Neurospora crassa OR74A: one gene and its partner. The protein of the gene in region 1 interacts with the protein of each later gene in a biochemical or structural test. Links are inferred from orthologs where the notes say so. Each region holds a gene or a part of one and is shown on either strand. Other genes may lie near its edges. The genes, in order: NCU01318 and NCU11181.

What was found.
Region 2: the proteins of NCU01318 (region 1) and NCU11181 form a complex in vitro, tested with the Saccharomyces cerevisiae proteins (6 studies listed by BioGRID, with this or other methods). The link is inferred for Neurospora crassa OR74A from reciprocal best matches to the Saccharomyces cerevisiae genes SEC23 and SAR1.

Annotation. Positions count from the first base shown.
Region 1 is NC_026505.1:3,643,827-3,648,407, forward strand, and holds the start of NCU01318 (protein transporter sec-23), read right to left. Parts: upstream 2,831-4,581; 5' UTR 2,514-2,830; intron 2,354-2,513; 5' UTR 2,151-2,353; coding exon 2,058-2,150; intron 1,992-2,057; coding exon 1,861-1,991; intron 1,805-1,860; coding exon 1,030-1,804; intron 968-1,029; coding exon 1-967. Other genes in the region: NCU01319 (hypothetical protein), read left to right, coding at 3,975-4,140, 4,205-4,285, 4,343-4,581. UniProt on the Saccharomyces cerevisiae protein: Component of the coat protein complex II (COPII) which promotes the formation of transport vesicles from the endoplasmic reticulum (ER).
Region 2 is NC_026503.1:3,651,276-3,655,453, forward strand, and holds NCU11181 (Ras superfamily GTPase), read right to left. Parts: upstream 2,722-4,178; 5' UTR 2,255-2,721; coding exon 2,236-2,254; intron 2,020-2,235; coding exon 1,876-2,019; intron 1,665-1,875; coding exon 1,599-1,664; intron 1,493-1,598; coding exon 1,152-1,492; 3' UTR 732-1,151; downstream 1-731. Other genes in the region: NCU00382 (hypothetical protein), read right to left, coding at 3,757-4,178. UniProt on the Saccharomyces cerevisiae protein: Small GTPase component of the coat protein complex II (COPII) which promotes the formation of transport vesicles from the endoplasmic reticulum (ER).

The DNA of each region.
Region 1 (4,581 bases):
GCAGGAGGATGTGGGTAGGCTGAATGGAGGTAGAGTCGAGCAGAACGGGGACACCGCCTTCTTGGTCGAAGGTGTAGGAGTCGAGCGTTGGTTGAATCATGATGAGCGAGTTACTAACATCCTCATGGTTGAGAACGTGCCGATAGAATGCGGTCTCATCGGGAGAGTTGTTAAAGACTTGCAAGAACTGACTCCTACGCAAGTGGAACATGAACTGTGGGTACAGCGTGAAGTTCTTTTCCAAGCGGAACGATGACGGGTCGTCCTTGCGGTAATCGGCAAATCTGGCGCAGAGCCTGATGAGCATGCGGTCAACCCACCGGAGCACATCAGGCCCATCGTCAACCTCCGCCTTGAAAACAGCGATACGCGACATAAGCACGGCTGCTGCCTCCTGGTCAAATGACTGCGCGATGGCCGGGTCTCCGGCGGGGCCGCTGAGGTTTCGGGCAATGGTGGTCACCCGAAGGTGGAAGTGGCCAGACGAGTGCTGGTAATAAGTCAAGAACTGCATCATTCCCTTTTGGGGACTCTGCATGTTCTGGGACGGGCCGCCTTGGTTGGCGATTTCGAAGTAGATACCGTAGCTGGAGCTGGGGTCGATACCGCACATCTTCCACGTGCAAGTGTTACCTATGCCGCACTCGGTTTCGCCGACGGACGTCGATTTTTTGTTGAGAGAGACTGCATGACCAATCAACCCAGTAACCTTGAGTTCCTTCGTTGTAAGTACTTCCAAAACCGCATTGAAGCCCATGAGCAGATTGTCATCCGCGTCCTTTTCGAAAATGCGGACGAATGACTGCTTGAACATGGATGAGGTGAAGCTGTCCGTCAGAATCATGTGGCCACCCGTCGAGTTGCACAGACCCTTCATTTCAAGTAGACCAACTTGATCAAGACAGCCGGCAAAAATGTCAATAGTGTGGCCGTTGTGCGCCGTTCGCTTAGCGAGGTTGTCGTAGAACTATAATAAATGTTAGCATGACACAGACTGTTTCCTGCACCACAACTTGAAGATGAACGTACCTTGAGTGCCTTCTTGTAATACTTGATGTTGTCACGGTCGATATCGTGATGGGAGCGGATCGGTTCCCTCAGCTCGGGGCCAACAACCATGCCAGGTCCCTCAGTGGCCGGACCACCAGCAAAGAGCATAATGCGACCACCGGCATTCTGGAACGACGTTTCGAGCAGGCCAACAGCTACGGACAACGCAACACCGGTGCAGCGCAAGGCTCTGAGGTTACCGGCAACAGGCCAGGGATCCTTCTGAAGCTGCTCAATGGCCTTGGTCAACTGGAACTCGGCCTGAGAGACCGGAAGCAAGAATCTTGAGGCAGGGCCGGCCGGGAAGGGCCTGCCAGGCTGTTGCATAGGCATGCCCGGACGCATGGCAGGTTGTACGAGCCCAAGCATCTCCTGGACCTGCTTGGCCGCGTACTCCTTGTTACCGCGGAAAACATATGATTTAGGGCACTCGGTATAGCCAATCTCGTGGACCTGGGCCATGGTGCCGTATGTAATCAGGCCGACAAGGGCGTGCTCGGGCAATAGGCTCAAGCTCATGATGAGCGACTCCTTGAGAGCAGCCAAGCTGTCCTCCTCCTGGCACGTATCGACGACATAGAGGAAGATCGGAGGGGCGGGGGCGGGCCGCGAGAGCCTGTACTCGATGGTAGTGTTGGAAGGGTGCAGCTCGGGTGGAATCGCATTTGCGGTGATGTCCTTGTAGTGTGGCGGGAGAGGATTCCTCGAGAGACAGAAGGGGCAGATCCACAGGCGGGCGCGCACATCGACTTGACTGGGCGAGGGTATCAGCAATGGGCGCGACAAGTCGGGGCGACGAAGATGGCTCACCAGTAGGGGTTTAACACGGAGCGGCAGGGCTGCTTGCAACTGACGGGGTCGAACTGCAGCAGAGGCGTGTCGGGCTTCTCCTTGAGAGGGGTATAAAGGGCGCCGATGGGGACGACGAGTCTCGAAGCTTCCTGAAGAAAGGGTCAGCGATAAAGGGGTGACGCGAAGTAGCAAGTATGCGAAAGAGCGGAACTGACCATGCGGGTGCTGGGGAAGACATTCCAGCTCAGACGAACGCCATCACGGTCCTCGACCTCGCCCCATTGCTCCTTGAGGGCTTCGTAATCCATGTTGATGTCGGCGGCGGCGTCCTCGGTCGATGGTCGCAGTCGGGGATAGAGAGGAACAGCTGGAGAGGGGTGATGGTGGTGTCGGCGGTTTGTTGGATTAGAAGATTAAGGGAATTAATGTGGATGATCCGTCGTCTACGCGGTGGTAGCTCCAGAGATAGGTACGGGGCGGGCGGCGGGCAACGGGCAACGTCGTCGGGCGGCTACGTGCAAGGTGTCATTAGCTCCGAGACCTGGAACGCACGAGACACTCGAGACATCCACCGTCCACCACACAGTCCACAGCAGCTGTCTTGCGGCAGGCGGGACCTGAGGCTAGATGTGGAAGCTAGGGGGAAAAGCGGGCTCCGTGCGAGTACATACCGCGGGGGGAGGCAATAAGGTATGGACGGGATCCCAGTTGTGGTGTGTCGCCAGGAAGATGCAACAACTGAACTGAAGAACCTCTTTTTCGACGCTCCTGAAAATTCAAGGTCCACTTTAAAGTGTTGACTGTCGTCCAGGAAGCCCTGCGCAAGATCACAGAGTTAACGACGCGCTGCTCTTCTGCAATCGGTCAAGTCGTTTGCGACAAGGTGATGGGATCAAAATGTTCAGAAATACCCCAATCGCTTCTACTGCAATGGAAGCCGACTGCAACAGGCGATAGTATCAATTTCTGATTTGCGGCTCTGTTGTCATTTGCTCCCCTCCAGTTGTTGAAAAGGACAGGTACCTCGTTCCCCTCCATCGAAAGGCAGGGGGCAGCTCTGCTGACAGACGACGGGAGGCTGCTTGCCAGCTGGTGCGTAGCCGACGAGCTGACGCCAATCACCACTTACCTCACCGTGCCACCGCGGCCGCCGTGGTAAACTGCATCTCCAAGCTGCAAGTTGCAACCTTTGTTCCGTCAGCACGAAATTGTCGGATGTACCAAGTGTTTTCCCGGTGCAGTGATGTTCCCGCGGCGTCGGATCATGAATGAAAAACAACATTGGCGAATCGCGACATCTCGACATGGAAATTGAATAGGTACCTATTCAGCATCGTATGCTTGCCCTCACCATCGACGCCTCGGGAGACGTCAAGCTTTGATTCCGTTACCCTTGGGCTCCAGTCATGATTCCGACCTGTGGCCGGCTGGCCGTTGAGTTTTGGCTAGCTCTGATTAGCCTGCTCGCATCTCTGTCCTAATGCTCGGTCTTGTGTCGATCCTACCACTCATGCCAGCATTTGGTGTTCTTCAAGAACCGTACCCTGCTCGCCCCATCCTGTTTCAGCCCACTGTGTCGAGCACGACCAAAATACCTTTTTGTGTTACCGTCGGGTTATCCTGAAGAATCCGCCTGTCGCGGGGGAACTCAATCAAACAACTCGCTCGCTCGCAGGCTCAGTCAGTCAAGCCAGCAGATGGTAAACTCGCGGCTGTGCTGCATCGCACAAACGCCCGCTCTCCGGTGATCACCCTCTCTGTTCTGAGCAGGCTCACTTTTACTTGTTACTCGACGAGTAGGGATCAGCCTTATCTCCTACTGTAGTGCTGACTTGATGCAACCCTTGGGTACGCTAAGATACGAAAGGGGCCGAGCAGCCGCCAGGTAGCAGTCAACAGGCACCATTGACAGTCCACGGTGATATTACCGTGGCTCACCTCTCCCGACCTCGTTTATAATTACAGTCGGATCCTATAGGATCATCACCTACCACCATGTCTCGATGGCGCTTCAGGGGAGCTAGCCCTTTTCGTGGGTAGAAAGCTGACACGCGTAGCATTTTGCTCAGAAATTTCTTCCTCCTCTCCCATTCTTCTCTTCTCTCTCTTGTTGCCCTCTGAAATCAGTCATCATGGTCAGGAGGTCGACTTCCCTTCTGTGCTGTGTAATACAGCCGTGGATTTGCCAGGCGGGTAGCACTATCACCCTACCCAAGGCAGATGAATCAATCATCCTTCCACGACAGGTTAACGGTGCTATCAGTCCCTCGACATTTCTGCGCAGAGGCTATCAATCGTGTGAGCATTGCCGTCATTGTCTTTTTCTCAGTGCATCATGACCATCTGGCTAATCGAACCAAAGCCGCGGTTTTAAACGGGCGCGTGTACATTGACGGCGGTGAGGTCTCGTACTACAGCGGTACTGACATCACCTTTCAATACTGTAAGACTCTCCACGCATTAACTCTTGAAACTATGGAATATCCTAACTCTTCCGTAGCGAACTCCCTGCTTTCTATCGATTTGTCCCAGGACTGGACAAGTGATTCAGTTCGGTTCGACTCAACATCCAAACCGCCCGGTGCCGCCAACCTCGCTGGCGGAGGGCTTTGGGTAGATGAGACGGATGGTGTCTTATACACGGGATTCGCCGGCACCAAGTCTAATTTTGGAGATAACGCCGATCAGCCTCAAGGCCTATGGTCATTCAAACCAGATGGCACAGGAGGCGGAACCTGG
Region 2 (4,178 bases), on another chromosome or scaffold:
ATATATCAGGTATAATGGCTCAAGTAGCTGAAACAGATAGATGTAGGTAGCTCGGACAAGCCCAGACAGTTGCGATATCAAGACAGGAGGCTTTTCGTTCTGTTCGAGTTGTCGCGTAATCAAAAAACAGCAAGTCGCAAACGAGATTGCGAACTGTAGGGAAAAAGGGACAGGAATCCAAGCACAGTAAACGCTTGGCAGATGCTTCAAGGATCGTCGACGTCGTCACTAAATGATATCGGCTAATGGCCAGGGAAGCATGCGAAGTGGAATCTTCGGCGTCTTGGTCCTGTATATGTAGCTGATGATGATCGAAGCCTTCTGGCTTTTTGATCTTCTGACTGATCCACCCTGAAACAAGCCACAGGGAATGGCTGGACAGAAAGGTGACACGGACTGAAAGAGGGATTTGACGATAAGGGGGTTACAAAGGAAAGAATTGTTCAAGGTGATCGGGATACAACGCTGGTTGCTGGCGCAATGGTCGGTGCTTGATCGTTCTTGATGTCAGTCCTGGTGCCGGAAGCGTTGGAGTTGCGCGGGTCGGGTGGCAGATTGTTGGATGACGTCGGTCGACCCTCGCCCGGAATAGTGTACTGTGTACATGTTTAGTGGGCGGGCGAAGCCGAGGACGGGGCTCTTGCCGGGCTACGTACTAGTAGTGTCTCTTCTGCACATGCGTTCCAGCCCAACAAATGATGGCATACACGTGTTCTTACTGGGGAATCACTCCGGAACGAATCCTTGTCATTCGAGAACTAGACTAGGCTTTGTTGGAGATGTTCACGTTCATCCGTACATACAATGATTCTACAGATTGCTAGAATGACCGCTCAAACTCGGGCCGGGCTAGGTAGACACCGTGTTACTAAGGGAATAGAACAAGCTATAGGTACCGGAATCTGACGGAGAGCAAAAGATAACCTATACCGTTAGAGCCAGATAACGGCAGTGGTCAAACGTACACTAGTCCCTCCAACGTCCCATTTGTGTCTGATAAGCCTCGTGCGTATCTGTTCATTGTGAAAATACGCCCGTCAATTTTTGATATCGCGAGACCCTCCAGTTCCTTCATTGTCATCATCGTATCATATTACAAAATGTTATTACCTGACAACCATCCTGTGCTGCTCCGCATTTCATCAGACCCCTTAAACGTACTGGGACAACCACCTGATAGCCTCTCCGTATCCCTGTCTCATAACCACAGAGCACATAAACACCTCGATGGGGCGGATGCCCTCGAGAGGAACCCTGCCCTTGCCGGTCGTTTGCCAGAGCCCGAGTCTCTGCCTGAGCTCGTCCTCAGAGACGGCTTCGGGATGGTCAATCTTGTTGCCGAGCACAACGAAGGGAACCTTGGCCAACTCCTCCATCGAGAGGAGCGCGTCGATCTCGGCCTTGGCCTCGGGGAGACGCTCGTGGTCCTTGGCGTCCACGAGGAAAACGATACCGTTTACTTCGGGGAAGTAATCCTTCCAAAGACGACGGGCTGTAGATACGTCATTTGTTAGTCGAGACCGCAGCAGTAGAGCGGCTTGTCAATGTCCCGAGAGGATTTGACATAAGCCCTAAATAGGAGATGATTATCCACTCACCCTGCTGATGACCGCCAAGATCGAAAGTGGTGAACTTGACGTTGCCGACAGAAAGCTCCTCCGAAGCTACAACGAATCATGTCAGCCATAATTATTCTCTAAACATCTCGCCCTCACATGTGCGCGCATATCTGATTCGGTGTATGGAGCCAGGAACGGGAGTAGGGACGGGAAGAGTCGAGGCGAAGGGGGAGAAGGCGGAAGGTGCTCGGGTATCAAGGTCCCGGCGTTGACGGAGAAACAGTGGCAGGTGGCAGCTGCAGGTGGTTGAACTGACTCGGATGAAGAGTAGGTTGGAGAATGGCAACGCGATCATTCTTCAACATGTGTAGAAGAGTGGTCTTTCCGGCATTGTCGAGACCCAGGAAGAGCAGCTTGCCATGCTTGTTGAGCAGGCCGAGGTTGGAAAGGATATCGTAGACTGTTTGTTGGTGGCGCCATCATGTCAGCTTTGCGAGTTTCCAGACGTGTTCGTCCAATATCATCATGAACAACCCCTTCCCAAATCCCCAGCAGTCCGCATGTTCATGCTATGCATTTCCATATCCATGGTGCACGACAGTGATGAACGAAGGGATGACGGGAAGTTTGGGTAGGTAACGTGGGCGACGGATGGGATAGGGATGCGACAACATACACCAAGACCACAACCACATGGTGACGAAATGATTATCTAGAAAACACCTCTTTTGTCGATGATACGGGAAAGTCGAGGAGTTCTAGAAGAACAGGTAGTCGTGCAAAGCGCCGGTAAAGTGTTAGGCACACAAAGAGGGACCGGCGAAATCGTAGCGAGGGTGTTGATGAGGCTTCGTTGCTGGCGTCGTGGATGTTGCGATGCGAAAGCAGCTGGAAGCTATGACAAAAGTGTACGGGGCGGCGGCGGATCGAAGGCGGTCGGGCACACGCTACAAGGAAAGATGTCCATAGAAGGTTCAATGACCCACGCGAGCCCAGAAGTGCACTGCTGGCATGAACGATACGGCAGGCGAGGACAGCGCTGGACTGGCCCCTGCAATAGTCTTGTGACTGTTGGCCTGGTATTTCAGGCATTCACACGTGACCTGTCTTTTTTCCTCCCCTTTTTTGCTTGGTGCAGTGAGCGAGCATGCCCGTGGGGCAGTCGGGGGGGGGGGGGGGGGGGAAGCAAGACGGCCCGTTCAGGGGCAAAATCCCCGGCACAACCGCCCAAAAGGCCCGTCACCGCCCAAAAGAAAGGAAGAAAATAAAAGAAAACAGCGGGAAATAAGTACCTGTAAACTACCACACATGCACGCCCGCCTGCAGCTGCCAAAGCGACCGTAGCAACCGCATCAAGAAGCCATGCAGGTGGCATTGATGCAAGATTCAGGAGAAGGAGGGTTCCAGATGCCACCCGCTCAGTCCGACAAATCTCCCGTCAAGACGCCGTCACTGCTCTCGCCTGTAATCCCAGACGTTCATCGAAGAAATAGGTTCACTGAATGAAGCAAAGGAACACATTGGCTTGTTTTGAAAATTTTACTTCTTTGTTTGAGGTATGTAGGAGGAGGATCTATAGTTATGTATAGACGAGTTTCCTTCCCAACCCCAGCACTTGGTTGTGTATGTCCAAACCAAGATGTCAGCTCACAATCGCTGATACGGATTATTGCCAATCCGTTGCCATCCGTCTCGTCCCCTTCCCATCCTCCCGTCGTCTCCAGAGGTCTCAAACTCCAAGACAGGTTCTGCAGGGTATATCTACCCCCGGCCATCAAATCCGTATCTCCGCCTCTACAGAGAGTCCGATTGTGTACACGAGCGCTCTGTAAAAAGCAGCGTGCCACGTAGAAAGTGGAAAAAGTAGAGCAAGCGCAGGCAGAAAAAAAAAGAATATGTACAAAAACGTTAACAAGAAAAGAACAAGAACATACAGAACATGTCCGCCCAGGCACAGCCCAAAGGAAGCCGACCCGATGCTTGCTTGCAACTTCGAGTATGCAATTATAATGAAACGGGTGGTACAAAAGGTGTAATCAATGAGCCGGGGGATGAAAATGTAAATACCGAATGCCGGACGAGAGAAAGCCGCTGCCGCCAAACGTGGTAAACATCAAAAAAATGCCTCTCCAGTTGCCGTTGTAACCCAGGGTATAATTCGCCATGTGAATGCTGATAAACGGCCCTCGCCGTGAGTTTAATAAGAAAGAACATAGTTGCCCTGGCCGATCTTGCCAGCCATTATTAGACCAACTTCGCGCATGCGCTCGGCACCTTGTCCTGGAGGAGGTCTCTTGGGCTGAGCCTTCTCCTTGCGGGCCCGGGTGCAATACTTTTGATAATACTTTTCTTTGCGCCTCTGGCGCTTCTCCTCCAAACCCTTGACAATGTCAATGGCACCCCGAACGTGAGTGTCTTGGGTGGTGGTGCCAGCACGGGATCTGCGAGGCTGCTGCTTGTTGATGTGAGGGAACATGACAGGACCCTTGGGCAGTGACTTGGTGAATGTCAGGCCCGGTCTGAATGCGAGTGACTTGAACGCAACGCCATCGGCTCCCGTAACAGGAGAAGCAAGGGGAGACTTTGCGGAAAGAACAGGAGGCGGAGGTGATCTCATCC